Drosophila melanogaster: one gene and its partners. The protein of the gene in region 1 purifies or fractionates together with the protein of each later gene. This does not show direct contact. Each region holds a gene or a part of one and is shown in the gene's direction. Other genes may lie near its edges.

Region 1 (3,658 bases):
TTCGGATCCGTGTAGAACTTAAGACCATCCTTGCCATCGTCTCGATAGACATTAAGCTTGTCGAGGGGCGGCGGTTTGTCGCACTGGGCATATGTGTCCATCATTGGTGCCGGCATGGTGGCGCGCGAGAAGATCTGTTGATCAAAAACCTTGGCCGACTTGAAGGCCTTCTTTCGGGTAATGTCCGTCAAGGGCACCTCCTCAACTGTGCTGTCCAGCTGGGTAACTTTGATAGCTAGGCGATCGATGCGCGCCTGCAGGGAGTTAGCTCGATCCCCGATGTTGCCCACGTCGCGGGCCAGTTCACCGAACACATCCTCTGCGTGCTTGGACAGCGAGGACAGCTGGCGAATGATGTTCGTCAGCGTGGTGTTGGTGACCGTCTCCAGCTCCACGGATTGCAGCTCATCCTGCTGATACACGGAGCGGGCCACATGCACGGGTTCTATGGATCGTTTGGGCAGCGGCATGGTCGGGCGCGATTGACAATTATCTCCAAATTGGCAAACCCGTAAATTAGTGCGTCCTCATCGACTGAAAACGGCATTAATAAGTAATAAATTGTTTTAATACGAATTAATGCATTTAAAATTAATTAAATATAAAACCCTTTATTTACTGATTTACTACATAATCTCATGCCAAATTGGGATCAATAATAAAAAGATTTCTTTTTATGCTGATTATCAATTGAAGACATTTCATTCCGATAAAATTGTACTTCCCAAATTGTCGTTTAACTTTGTTTATAAATTTTCCCGTAAAAGTAGACGTTTAAAAAGTTAATTGGATACTATCAAAATTGGTTTAAAAGAAATTTTGTCATCACTATACTAAACCGTCTATGAACAAGACTCAGAATGGTATTGCAGAAGATTTCACGAGACGCTTATCCATGTATCCATGAGACGTGTTCATTACAATCACCAAAATGCCATTTGAATTGTTTTGTGATATGCGCGACTGACGAACTCGACGTCTGGACCACACCCCACGAAACGATACCCACAGCGAGGTGATAAGGGCGTAACGCCCAAGTCACCCCCGCAAGATGCACCTTGCAGTCCCGGCGAGATTAGTCGATAATGCCCCCCTTTTCGGTGGCAGTTTCTGGGTGCTACGACCTGGGGCCTTTACGTGGGCACCTATTCCATACGTGCATATACGTATATCGTCGGCGGCCTCCCACCAACGCAAATTAGACCGTCACGCACTCACACACACGCATGAACCGCAGCAGCAGCAGCACCCAAGTAAATGTACATACATATGTGTGGGACGGAACGGCTGACTCTTTCAGATTTTCGCACTGAAACATTCGCACTAAATCGCAACAATGCACACACAAAGGTATCTCTCACACTTTCTAATCGTAGTGGCTGCTGCGATTTTGATTTTGGTTTTGAACGGCGCAGCTTAGTTTTACACAGTCCACCTCACTTTACAGCATATCGTACACTCACCGCCCGTCACACTTTTCGTTTGGCGGCTGGCACCACAACAAACATTAAGCAGCCACTTCCGTTTCGGGGGTTCGGTGGCAAATTCGATCCGATGCGAACTCTAATTAGCCAATTTGGGGCTTGAAAACTGCAAATATTTGCTCGTTTTGTGGAAACTAAGATTTCCACACCTTTGCAGTGTGACCGAAGCTTTGTGGTTCGAAAATACTGCAGGGATTCATCATTTCGGAAAATCAGACAAATATACTGCACGATGCGGTGGGGAAAAAGTTATTTTTATATTAAATGTAATATGTATTTTAATTACTATATTTAAATAAATTTTGCAAGGGAATTTTCAGTAACTCATTTCATATTGTTTATTTACTGTATAGAATGAAATATTTTAAATATAAATATATATTCAATTTATTTTATTTTATTTTAACTCTATATTATCCATAATAAGCTATTTTATTAACGTTATTTAAAATTACTGTTTGCAGTTTCTTCCATTAACTTTAGAAATGTATATTTGGTATTTTTGGTATTTATCCGCCGATCGATAACTAGTGCTCCAGCCCTGGCCCCAATGCATAACATCTCTGTTTCGTCGCACACTGAATAGGTAAGTTTTCCGCACATTTCGTTGATTTCCTCTTGTATAATTCCAACTGCTTGCAGAACCAAATTGAAAAGATGGCGAGTTTGGCTACCAAGGGATCAGGACTTGTGAACAGTGAGTGTCGTGAATCGAATGCAATCGAATGGATACACCACCATTGGCGCCTGTCAATCGCAAAATTATGTAATGATCACTTTTTGCAGGGCTCCTCACACAGGCGAGGCCCCAACTGGACGTGTTCCTGAAGTACGCCAAGGTGGAACTGACGCCCCCGACGCCCGCCGATATTCCGGCCATTCGCCAAGGACTGGGCAACATCATCAAGGGAGCCAAGACCGGCGCCTACAAGAACCTCACGGTTCGCGAGGCCTGGCTTAACACCCTGGTGACCGCCGAGGTCATCTTCTGGTTCTACATCGGCGAGTGCATCGGCAAGCGTCACATTGTAGGCTACAATGTCTAAGCTTACTATAGTCTCCGCTTGGCAGTCACTGGAATGGGCAACGTAATCCCTAACAGATGTGTATATTTATATGTCTGCGAACATTTCGACTCTGAATAAAGTGAAATAGTAATTTAAAATTCCGAAAATTTTCGAAAAATACATTGTTTTTTGAAAACCGTTAGAACGTTTGCGCGGGATTTGTGTAAGCTAAAGATGAGGTGATGTAAAACCAAGTTTGGAATTAAAAGTTGACGATATTTAATGATAAAAATTAAAAAAATATATGTAATGTTATACATCAAATGTTTATGAAACGGTGTCGTAATCAAAGAGGCTAATGGTTCAGAAATACATAATATACTTAGAGCATTTAAAAGCACTCAAGAATAATTTTATTTAAAAAAAAAAATAAATAAATCTAAATTTGCTTTTCATAGATAATTCATTTACACATTTTTTTAAACAAAGTAAAGTAAGATGTATTGAATTATTTTATTTATAAATAACGTTTTTTATTTGAATCTTGAAAAGCATTAATATTATTATTATTATACTTATATTTTTTAACAACAAAACTTTTGTAGACAGAGTAAATTTTTGTAATCTAACTGCGGTCACACTTTACTTTAGTTACCTTCCGATCGGAAGAAGAACCCGGCTGACATTAGGAATAGGAACTTGGCAGAACTTTCCCAGGATCTGTCAGAATGGCCTACAAGAAGCGCCTACAATCGCAGAACCTCGTGCATCTGCTGCAGAACCGCGAGTCCGGATACACCAACGTGGGCCAACAGCCGGGCAGGATGCCGCTGTTGGCCTACGAGCGTCTCTTCTACAAGTGCATCACGCCTTGCCTGACAATTGACTCGATTACCATTCCGCCGATCTACCTGCGCAAGTTTACGCCGGATGGCAGAAAACTGTTGGCCTTCTCGCAGGATCAGCGCAGTCTGCTCATATACAGCTACGGGGGTTCTAGTTGTGCGGCGGTGGGTGAACTGATTCGCCAGGCGGATGTAGGCAGTGGCGAGTGCTTCAGTAGCCAGGACACCATACTCAAGAGCAGGATCTTTGAACGCCTGTTTCCCACAAAAGAGACGCTGAATCTATGCCAAGGCGACTTTGGCCTCTACTATCTGCACCGGG
Region 2 (3,813 bases), on another chromosome or scaffold:
ATTTTTACATTTCCGCTGCTTACGAAAATATTTACGCTCCCCTTCGCACAAAACCTTCCCCATTTCGAATTTCAAATTTCGAATTCCAGACGCTCGCACACACGCACGTGTTAGAGATGAGCCAGATTTCCGAGTGCATCGCATGGTGACAACAGGTTCGATTCAAATGAATATGGAAATGATTCTGCTGAGCTCACAAAAAATTTAAGCATTTGCTTTTCAAATTAGATCATATGGCTATGCTATTCGAAACAGATGTGAAAAAGTAACAAGTTTTAGCTCTACAATGTTTACTTTAAATTTAGCATTTACGAAGTATAAATAGACACATTATTTACGCATTATGTTTTATTATATTTAAGACAAAATACAATCAACGTAAGTTAAAATATAAGATTGCAAACCTATTTACCCTCAATTCTAAATGTTTAAATATACAATAGTACATGACAATTTTGCATTTCCCGTTACGAAATTATATTTGTGTTTTTATCTCGGTAGAACCTTGAAAACCATGTTGTGTCAAGATGCAGCGAAAGCAGCGGGTGGCAACTTTTGGCAGGCAGTGTGCGAAAGCTAAGGTCAGGCCCATCTCTAGGTTGCTTCCGCACACAGACACGCACGCACACAGCGATGGGGAAATGCCAACGATAGCACAGGTCTAATCCATTTAATTCTGGCTTTTAACCGATTTCTGCTAATACTATTTATTTACCCGTTTGGTTTTGGCGACTGCTCTCTCTCTCTCCCTCCGTTCTTATTGCCGTGTGGCCATAATCCAATTATGCTTGTGTTTGTGTGTATGTGTCTGCTCTCTATTGCAATTGCAGTTATTCGCATCCGCCGTGATATGCAACCAACACATTCGCACTCGCGCACTCACACGCACCCGCAGACATCACAAATGCGAGGACCGAAAATCCTGAGCGTCAACAAAATAAATATAGCTCTGGTGTTTTAAAATAGGTTTTCACTCGATTCTGCGTTTGCTGTCTCGTCTTGTTTATGTGCATTCGTCGTTGGTTGTGTGTACTTGTTTTTTTTTTTTTTTGTTAGACGCGACTGTCCATTCAACATTACCACTCAGCCGACGCAGAGCGAGATTATAATTCGGTAACCGATTCACTGGCACTGCTCTAACGGGCTATAGCCTATGATCCAGTCTGGAATGGAGCTAAAGATATGTTGCTTTCATTTATGTCTGCACTCGCGAAAAAGCGTCCACAAATTAACAGTTCTTCGGGAGCGACGCGCAGCTAGACGTCCGACTTTGTTTTCCGACTCGATTAGAGTGACCGTTGTGGGATGGTGGAAAAAAGTGGAGGGCCCATGCTGAAACCGATAACAAAAATACCAGATGTGCGATATACACTATCGATAACGAGCACAATTTCTTAATTCTAATTTAAAACAATTATATAACGGGCTTTCGTGTTTTATTTAACAAATAGTGAATAAAATGCGGCTACTTCTTTTTGATGTACTTCATGTACTTCTTGGCGTTGAAGTTGTCCTCCACCTCCTCCATGATCTTGACCTTCTTGCGCGGCTTGCGGGCCTCCAATCTCGCTCTGCGCTCCGCATCGGTTAAGGTGCTCAGATCCAAGGGAAGCTAGTAGATGGTACTCGTTAATTATGGTTTCGTTAAGTTATAGTAACTAACGTTACCTTGATAATCTTCCTGGGCTCGTGATAGCGGATGTTTATCGTGGATCCATCGGGTTGCACCACAACTGTGGGATATAGCCGGCAGTAAACCGAGCGATGCAGCCTGGTAACCGCCGTCGTGGCCGATGAGATGCAGCGTATCTGCTGAACAGCCTGGGGCAACTGTTTCAGCAACATTTTAATTGATAATCACAATATTTACACTAAATAAGAGCTACACTTAAATCGTGTTTTTGCTGCCAGGCAGCTGATAGTGTGACCGACCCGAGGGTAAGATTTAAAGACTCCTAAATTAGTTATTAAGAATCTGTGGTAGCCCTGGTTCAGTTTCCACATTATGTGGTATTTTCCCCAGCTCTGGTCACATTCGTACTCAAAGTGTAAGTGTTGGTTGCAGAGGCAGAAATTCTTATTTTTCTCCTTGAAAATATAAGTACGTTACGTTAAACACTGCAAAAATAATAAAAAAAAAGCGCACGGTTGGGCTACAACAGCGATTAGTCTGCAAGCCTCGAGGAAAGGACTGCAAACGCGTTTTTAGTTTGAAGGAACATTGAGGATTGAAAAAAATTACATAATTTTTGCGAGCATAACTCGCCGTGCATTATGTCGATAAGTCTGCAACTAAAGAAGCAGAGATTACATTTCAACTAATAAGAATATCGCTGCACAGTTCCAGGACACCTAGAAATCACTTACCACCTCTATAAACCCAAAAACCTAACCTCATCCCCGCTTTTGTTGTTGTCTTGCAGTATCTGTGCAGAATGGCCGCCCGCCGTATCGCCCAATCCTCGATCAACTGGTCCGCTCTCGCCGAGCGCGTGCCCGCCAACCAGAAGAGCAGCTTCGGCGCCTTCAAGACCAAGTCGGACATCTATGTGCGCGCCGTGCTGGCCAATCCCGAGTGCCCACCCCAGATCGATTGGGCCAACTACAAGAAGCTTGTGCCAGTGGCCGGACTCGTCGATAGCTTCCAGAAGCAGTACGAAGCCCTGAAGGTGCCCTATCCCCAGGACAAGGTGTCGTCCCAGGTGGATGCCGAGATCAAGGCGTCGCAGAGCGAAATCGATGCCTACAAGAAGGCCTCGGAGCAGCGCATTCAGAACTACCAAAAGGAGATCGCCCATCTCAAGTCTCTGCTGCCCTACGACCAGATGACCATGGAGGACTACCGCGACGCATTCCCCGATAGCGCACTCGATCCCCTCAACAAGCCCACCTTCTGGCCCCACACTCCCGAGGAGCAGGTCGGCTACAAGTCCAAGGAGCAGCTGGAGGCCGAAGCCCAGGGACACCACTAAACCGGAGCGCACGAGGAGCACTCTGACACTGGCTTCGTTGGTCGTCTGTTCGATTCGAAATGTAATCCGCGTTGAAGTAAATTACCCAAATTAAATTCATTTCAAATGACAGTTACGGTATCTAATTTGCATTTGTTGTCTATGTGACATCTTGTTGGATGGATATGCATAAAGAAAATGGGATCCTTAAATCAAAATAATGAAATAAATTGAGAAAACAATCAATTTGACAGCCCAATGCACTGGAAATGATAGCCGGTCCTTGCAGTTTTATAAGCTAATAGATAAAAATCAAATGCACAAATAAATAAATAAGCAAATTGGCTACAATTCAAACTTAAACTTAAACAAAAATTAAAATTACTAATCGGCACCAATGGTGGTGCTAGACTCCGCTAAATGCGGATGTTGTACTTGCTAAATGAAACTAAAGCTCCCTCTTGTGGGCGGTGGCAAATAAATTCCCAGAGATGTCGGTTTCTGGGAATGAAAAGCACTTCCTGATTTCTAAAAAATTTAATAATTCCGAAAGTACTTTATATTGAAATTTAATGTGCGTCAAATTAGCGTCGATGAGTTAGAGGCGGCACAGTAAGTGGGAATTCCTGCTCCTTATTGCCACACCGCTGGATTTTAATACTTTTAAACCTCTACCTTGGTTTGTGTCCGCACTACAGGCAGTATATTCTAACTGGATTTTCCCGATCGCCTTAGTATATTTTTCAAATGTTTATTGGTTGAAAGACTGAGCACTGCTAGCATTTATTTTGAGAGAATTCAAGCAGTGCCATCTTGTTTGGCTCTCCGAAAGCCGTTAAAAGCTTCAGTCGCCGCTCAAATC
Region 3 (6,853 bases), on another chromosome or scaffold:
CTTCTTAGCCAAAAAGTCAACTTTTGCGTTGTTTCTCACCGCTTGCTATGTATTTGTTTTTATTTGACCAGAAGGTAGGGTATTGTTTGGGGCATTGGTTCCAAAAAACAAAACGAACTAATTAGAAAACAAATTTTAAAACGCAAGTAGAATGTCATTTACTTCACTAAGCTGAACATTACTTTTGAGAATTATTATGGGTTTTTAATTATTTGTTTTATTCTTAATTAGTTGAGATTGACAACTAATCATAAAGATCGGATGACAAGAAAACCTACATATAATTTTGCCTGAATCAGATAGTACGAAGGGTATACACTTTTCGAAGTATCTAAAAGTACCGTAACAAAAAACAAAAGGAGCAGAAGATGAAAGCGAAGAAGCAAAAAGAGGAGCAACGACCCAACATTGTTGTTGTCTTATGCCGCTGCTTCTTTGCGATGTTGCCGTTCCGCTCGCACCGCTATAGCTTGGGGTCAATAGCTAAGGATCGGATCTGTTGTATATATGTTTATATAGACCGATTGCGGTTAGTTCTCTTATCAGAAATAACATGAAATATATTGCGTTGCGACGCCACTGGCGACCGCGACGCAGGCAGAGGGCAAGACAGCGGAGAAGAGAGTGAGTGAGAGTGTGACGGCGGAGAGAGAGGTAAACAAAAATACACAAACACATACACATGCGCGCTACAGCTGCTCGTTCACATGTGTATGCGGGCCTGTATGTGTGCAACAAACAAAAAGCAGAAAATCCTTCTCTTCTTCACACCCTTTTTCCACAACAAAGTCAGCTGTGTGTGTGAGGAATGAACTTTAAGGCAAGCTTTCTGTTTCTATTTTTTGCAGAGTTTTTCCAACTGAAAGGCGCAATTTGCTAAGACACCTATACACATACACGAAGAGCCAAGCAAAATAGAAGATATAACAAAACAAAATAGAAAATAAGCAGAGCGAAAAATATATAGACAGCTATCTATGCACACAAACACAAACATGGGGAAACACTGTTGTTTTTCGCAACTGCGTTTCGCCTGCAGGTGCGACAGAGAGGGCGCGAGTGGGTGACAAACTTGGGTAAATGTTGCAAGCACTTACGTCCTGTGTGTTTTGTTTGTTTGTTTGTTTGCTTGTCGCCTTTCGCTGTCGTTCGCCAACAAACACCTCAGCGCAGAGCACACACGCGACACGCACACACTCACACACAGTCACAGAGACGTGCACAAATAGCAGCCGAAAATGGCACTCTCTTCTTCTTCACTTGTATAATAATGCAGCAATCTGCATTGTTTCGTTTCTATTTCCAATTGGAATTTGTTGTTGTGCTGCCTGTGCCAGTGTGACCAGGTAGCGCGGTGGCTAAAAATAGTCGCTAACGCCAGTTTTGAATGTTGCGCGGGTAAAAGATTCGTGAGATACGAAAAAACTCCGAACTTTAATAAAAGGATCTAATAAAAAAGGAAATACTGAAAAAGAAACTAAACAAAATCAAAAACACCAGATTCATAACAGTATAAATGGTCGCATGGTTATGCCATGTAAACACACCGTTATTAATCAAAGTCTTAATCTAATAAAGGAAATTTCATTTTTTAAATTATAATTTTTGGAATAAATAGTTTTTCTTTTAATATCATTTTTAATGTACGATCAAAAGCAATATACAAAAAATTTAAGCTTTTAATTGGCGATGCCAGACTAATGAATTAAAAGAATAAGTGTTGCCACTAAAAGTTTATTGGTCTATATAATTTGTTTATTGATTGAGGCACTTTATTATTATAATTAAAACACTTAATTATTATGTGTGAAATGATTGCACTTTTTATTTTGTAAGAGCCTGTTGCGTATTGAAAATTTTGTATTTTGTCTTGTCCTCTAAATATCGTAAAAACGCGTTATTGCTAGATAAGTTTTGTATTCCCGGCTGGTCACTCTGACTTAAACGTTTTTCGCAAAAACAGCGGCTGATCACTGAAGTTTTCTCGTGTTTTTCGCTATCAAACCGAAATAAAAACAGGTGAAAATAACTGATAAATTGAGGGGTAGTCCACTGATCACAGTGCCCGAGGATTTGCAATGAAAAGCGATCGAAATTTGAGCTGGGGAAACGCAATAGCAGCCGCCGCCTAACCTACAAAGTTACATAATTTGGTTATTTTGTTGTTATGCTGGCTGGCTGTGGCAGAAAAGACTTTTAATCCTGAATTTATCCTCTCGTTGCAGCCCAAAATGTCCTTCGTTAAGAACGCCCGTTTGCTGGCCGCCCGCGGCGCTCGCTTGGCCCAGAACCGCAGCTACTCGGATGAGATGAAGCTGACCTTCGCCGCCGCCAACAAAACCTTCTACGATGCCGCTGTGGTGCGCCAAATCGATGTGCCTTCCTTCTCGGGATCCTTCGGCATCCTGGCCAAGCACGTGCCCACTCTGGGTAAGTTCGATCATTCAGTTTCAGTTGCCTCGAGATGGTTATATCACCGTTGGCGAATCTCTTTGCTATTGCAGCTGTCCTGAAGCCCGGCGTTGTCCAGGTGGTGGAAAACGATGGCAAGACCCTCAAGTTCTTCGTCTCCAGCGGTTCCGTCACCGTCAACGAGGATTCCTCCGTTCAGGTTCTGGCCGAGGAGGCCCACAACATCGAGGACATCGATGCCAATGAGGCGCGCCAGCTGCTCGCGAAATACCAGTCACAGCTTAGCTCCGCTGGCGACGACAAGGTGCGAATCTAGTCAAGAAGTTGCATAGTAGAGTAGTGTCTAGAAAGTAGAAGTAGTGGTCCAGAAAGTACAACTCAAACAGACTCTTTTGATGGAAACACTGCTTCCACCATTCACGCCAACTGGCATTTAAGTTACTAAACGATTTCTATGTGCCCATCCTTTTTACTTGATATACTTTCTTTGTACAAACAAGTTTGCTCTTAAATTAACGCTTACACATTCGATATTTCCATGAGTAAACTTATGTTTGAGTTGCTTTTGCATTCTGTATTGCACATTCTGAAGCTATCTAAACGAGACTTAACCACGATCCTTGTTTTGCAGGCCAAGGCCCAGGCTGCCATTGCCGTGGAGGTCGCCGAAGCGTTAGTCAAGGCTGCCGAATAGACGTAATCACCACACAACCGCCACCAATAAACCACAATCGATGCTTTGTGTCTGAAATAAATAAAAAACATAACGATCACCTTAAAAAGCCAGAGAGTTATGAAACAATAAAAAAGCGAATCATAATATCGTATTAATGACCCGTGATCCACCAGGCAAATGATTTTTTTTTCTTTTTTTTTTCATGTTATGCCGCTAAACTGTGTGTTTATATAGTTTATAATATATGTATGTGAGCTGGTGAAGAGAAATGTGTAATATTTGCTCGCTGTGGGATAGACCGTTGATATGATAATGCTTTGGCAATCTTTAAGTCAAAAATATGAGTGATTTGCATTTTGGCCGAAAGAGACGAACGTCGTTTCTTTTTCCCTTGCCAATTTATGCAAATCGCATAAGCATAAAAACTTACAATTTGTAAATGAGCTCGTCTTTCATCTTAACAAATAGTATAGTTTGTATTTCATCTGGTGTGTTGCATTCATGGATAGTTCGCATATCTTATCTCGGATGATTGTTTAAATTTCTCTCAAAAGTAGTAATAAAAAGCAACTTTGTTTTTTTTTTATGGAAACAAGAATTAATCAATGGCTAAAATTATACTTTTGGCAGATAGAAGATAATCCATTTTGAAACTCTTTATAAAGATGATAAATACTATAGAATTGAAAAAAGAAAATTGGATTTTTTTTTTTTGGAATTGTCTATGTATTTGGTAACAAAAAAATGTGTTGTAAAAAAAATGTCTTAAATTAACTCATGGCGTTGTGTGGGAATGGTAATATGCTGTCGATGTAGTTAGCAGGAAGGTCCTCCGATAGATTGGCGAATTGTTCTAGTATCCCGGTGGGCCGTAGGTCTGGGCAGGGGCGTGACCGATGGGCAGGGACTGCTCCTCGGGAGCAAAAACGGGTGCAGGAGCGGGATGTGGCACACTCAGGACGGGAGCGGGTGCTGGGGCGGCATAGACTGGAGCTGGGGCAGGAGCGGAGTAAACTGGAGCGGGAGCAGGAGCGGAGTAAGCTGGAGCGGGAGCAGGTGCGGAGTACACTGGAGCGGGAGCAGGAGCAGAGTACACAGGAGCTGGGGCAGGAGCGGAGTACACTGGAGCGGGAGCAGGTGCGGAGTACACAGGAGCGGGAGCAGGAGCAGCATAAACTGGAGCCGGAGCTGGAGCAGCATAAACTGGAGCCGGAGCAGCGATCTCCTGAGGAGGCAGGTAGGAAGCGACTGGAGCAGCCACTGGTGCGGGCACATCGATGGGGGCATAGGCTGGACCGGCAGCTGGAGCGGAGTGCTCATGGATCACACGCACCACCTTGGTGGCTCCACCCGAAGAGTAACCACCGGAGGAGTAGCCACCCGACGAGTAGCCACCCGACGAGATGCCGCTGTCGTGGCTCTCGTGAACGACCTTGATGACCTGGGACACGGCACCGCCGCCAACCGAAGAGCCGCCGATGAAGGATGGTCCAGCCACGGGTCCAGATGCCACATTCACCACCTTGACAATCTGCGGAGCGCTCTCGACCAGCGGGGCACTCACAATGGGTGCGGATTCCTGCAGGATCTTGATCACCTTGACGGAGGAGGGGGCGGGCCCAGCTGGAGGCAGATAAGCGGGTCCAGGAGCGGGTCCATAGCCACCGCCGCTGCCGCCAGAGATGACCTTCACCTTGAAGATCTGGGGAGCCGCCTCGTAGCCATAGCCGCTGCCATAGCTAGCGCCGGAGGAGTAGCCAACGCCGCCCTGCTGATGGATCACCTTGACCACCTGGACTGGGCCACTGGGTCCATGGCCGCCATAGCCGCGAGCGCCACTACCACCGCCGCCGCCTCCGTTGCCACCACCGCCTCCGAGGTTAAGGCCGCCACCACCGCCTCCACCGCCGCCACCGCCGAGGAGTCCCAGGAAGCCAGCGTTGGCCACAGCGAACAGAGCACACATGCAAACGAAGACCTGGAAGGATGGCAGAGTATAAGAAGCGATTTAGTTTCATGTTTCATGTTGCATCCTTAGAGGATTTTAAAGAATATATAAAGTTCATTAAGTTTTTGTTATGTTTTCCAATTAGAAAGTAGAGTTTTATCGCTGGTTTTTTTTTCTATATCTTTAAAGGATCTTTGATCTTCATAGACTGTATTTTCCAAATGGATATACTTTGTATTCATTCTTTGTTTAAATATTTTCATTTTCAATCTTCTGATATTCTTCAGCACACTTTGTATTTGAATATTAACTATCACTTCTTCGAAAGTTCGAAAGAATTTAAACTGAGCTCAGGATGCTCTTGCCACTTTGTCACTTTTCAAATCAGTTTGGATAAATAAAAAAAAAAAAACTAGAAGAGGATATTTGCCGGCACAGGACATTGTGAGCAGCTCACCTTCATGCTGACTACTAATCCACTTGATGCGATGATACCAATTCCAAAAAAAAAAAAACGCCTTGAGTGCCGATGAGCAAGCGACTGATGTCCGATCGATTGGAGACCAAGTCTTTTATACGATATAAGCCAGCAAGGGCGAACAAAAGGCGTTTCATTAACATTTCCAAACTGCCCATCAACGCCATCATCATCATCGCCACGATGATGAGCAGCATCATGATGATGGGCTTTCGTTTTCATTTCGATTTTCACCAAATGCTGCTGGACGCACCCAAAAGTGCCAATCGTCGTGGTTGGTTCTTCCATAGCCAGTTGGATTCGGAGCTACCAGCTACCAGCTACCAGCTACCAGCTACCAGCTACCAGCTACCAGTTTCAGTTTCATCAAGTCTTACGCTGCATTTCCCAAATTCCGAATGGGGATCCCACAATTAGCATGAAAATGAGACGCTACGTTAGTGATAAGCTCGGAATGGGGCTTTCATATTTCGTATTTTTTTTTTTATTCGGCATCTTATGTTTTATGGTTTAGGTTTTCGTTTTCATTTTGATTTTGATTTCGATTTGGATTTTGGATTTTGGTCAATTCAATTTGCATACACGGGCGTGCTGCAAAGCGGTTGCCTCACAAGGCGGCCGGCAGTCTGTCATAAACCAAAGCGAAAACCTAACCCAACCCAACCCAATCCAATCCAATCGAAACCAAACCAACCCATTCCATTTCACCTCATCCGGCAATTTCAAGGTGAATCTGAATCGGAATCTGTTGTCAAGCCGAACCATCTCATTGATGGTGGCTATATTCCATCTATATGCAGGTATTTATAAAACGAGCCGATTATTATGCAAGCCACCAGTCGCATCTTCGAGCCATGTAAAACGCATTATGTTGGCCCAATAGGCCAAAGATGTTGTAAAATTGGCCAACGGTTCGGATCAGTGATATCTGTTGGCGCATTTTAAATAGCCACTAAGTATTACATACTTACAACAATAAACATATGTTTATTTACACAAATATTCAACATAATCAACTGATGTGCATATATATATATATCCATTTAGAATCATATTTCTACTCAGTTTATAACAATTTTATAAAATACTATCAAATTGTTCAAATTGGTTATGCTTTTCGGTTAAGAAACGTATTAATTTATACCAAAAAAAAAAGAGATTTTCAGTGGGCAGATCAGATTGGTGGGAAATCAAGTAATATCCAAGAAATGGTTGGCTAACCTGCACTCTGCCACTAATCGTGATTATGATCTTGTCGCGGTCTATTATGGTTTGTTAATTGATCCATGCATGGAATGCATCTGTTGAGAAACTACATACATACATACATAAATATCTA

The links.
Region 2: the proteins of ATPsynG (region 1) and ATPsynD purify together in Drosophila melanogaster (affinity purification with mass spectrometry; 2 studies listed by BioGRID, with this or other methods). This does not show direct contact.
Region 3: the proteins of ATPsynG (region 1) and ATPsyndelta purify together in Drosophila melanogaster (affinity purification with mass spectrometry; 2 studies listed by BioGRID, with this or other methods). This does not show direct contact.

What each region holds. Positions count from the first base shown.
Region 1 is NT_033779.5:10,974,774-10,978,431, reverse strand, and holds ATPsynG (ATP synthase, subunit G), read left to right. Parts: upstream 1-2,032; 5' UTR 2,033-2,070; exon of another isoform or gene 2,071-2,126; 5' UTR 2,127-2,141; coding exon 2,142-2,181; intron 2,182-2,270; coding exon 2,271-2,530; 3' UTR 2,531-2,910; downstream 2,911-3,658. Other genes in the region: SCAR, read right to left, coding at 1-470; abo (abnormal oocyte), read left to right, coding at 3,220-3,658.
Region 2 is NT_033777.3:19,092,974-19,096,786, forward strand, and holds ATPsynD (ATP synthase, subunit D), read left to right. Parts: upstream 1-2,026; 5' UTR 2,027-2,101; intron 2,102-2,423; 5' UTR 2,424-2,435; coding exon 2,436-2,972; 3' UTR 2,973-3,298; downstream 3,299-3,813. Other genes in the region: mRpL55 (mitochondrial ribosomal protein L55), read right to left, coding at 1,466-1,612, 1,669-1,845. UniProt on the Drosophila melanogaster protein: Mitochondrial membrane ATP synthase (F(1)F(0) ATP synthase or Complex V) produces ATP from ADP in the presence of a proton gradient across the membrane which is generated by electron transport complexes of the respiratory chain.
Region 3 is NC_004354.4:10,211,056-10,217,908, forward strand, and holds ATPsyndelta (ATP synthase, delta subunit), read left to right. Parts: upstream 1-1,914; 5' UTR 1,915-2,019; intron 2,020-2,225; 5' UTR 2,226-2,231; coding exon 2,232-2,430; intron 2,431-2,504; coding exon 2,505-2,716; intron 2,717-3,043; coding exon 3,044-3,106; 3' UTR 3,107-3,941; coding exon of another isoform or gene 3,942-5,066; 3' UTR 5,067-5,493; coding exon of another isoform or gene 5,494-5,499; 3' UTR 5,500-6,338; downstream 6,339-6,853. Other genes in the region: CG2962 (uncharacterized protein), read right to left, coding at 3,942-5,066, 5,494-5,499.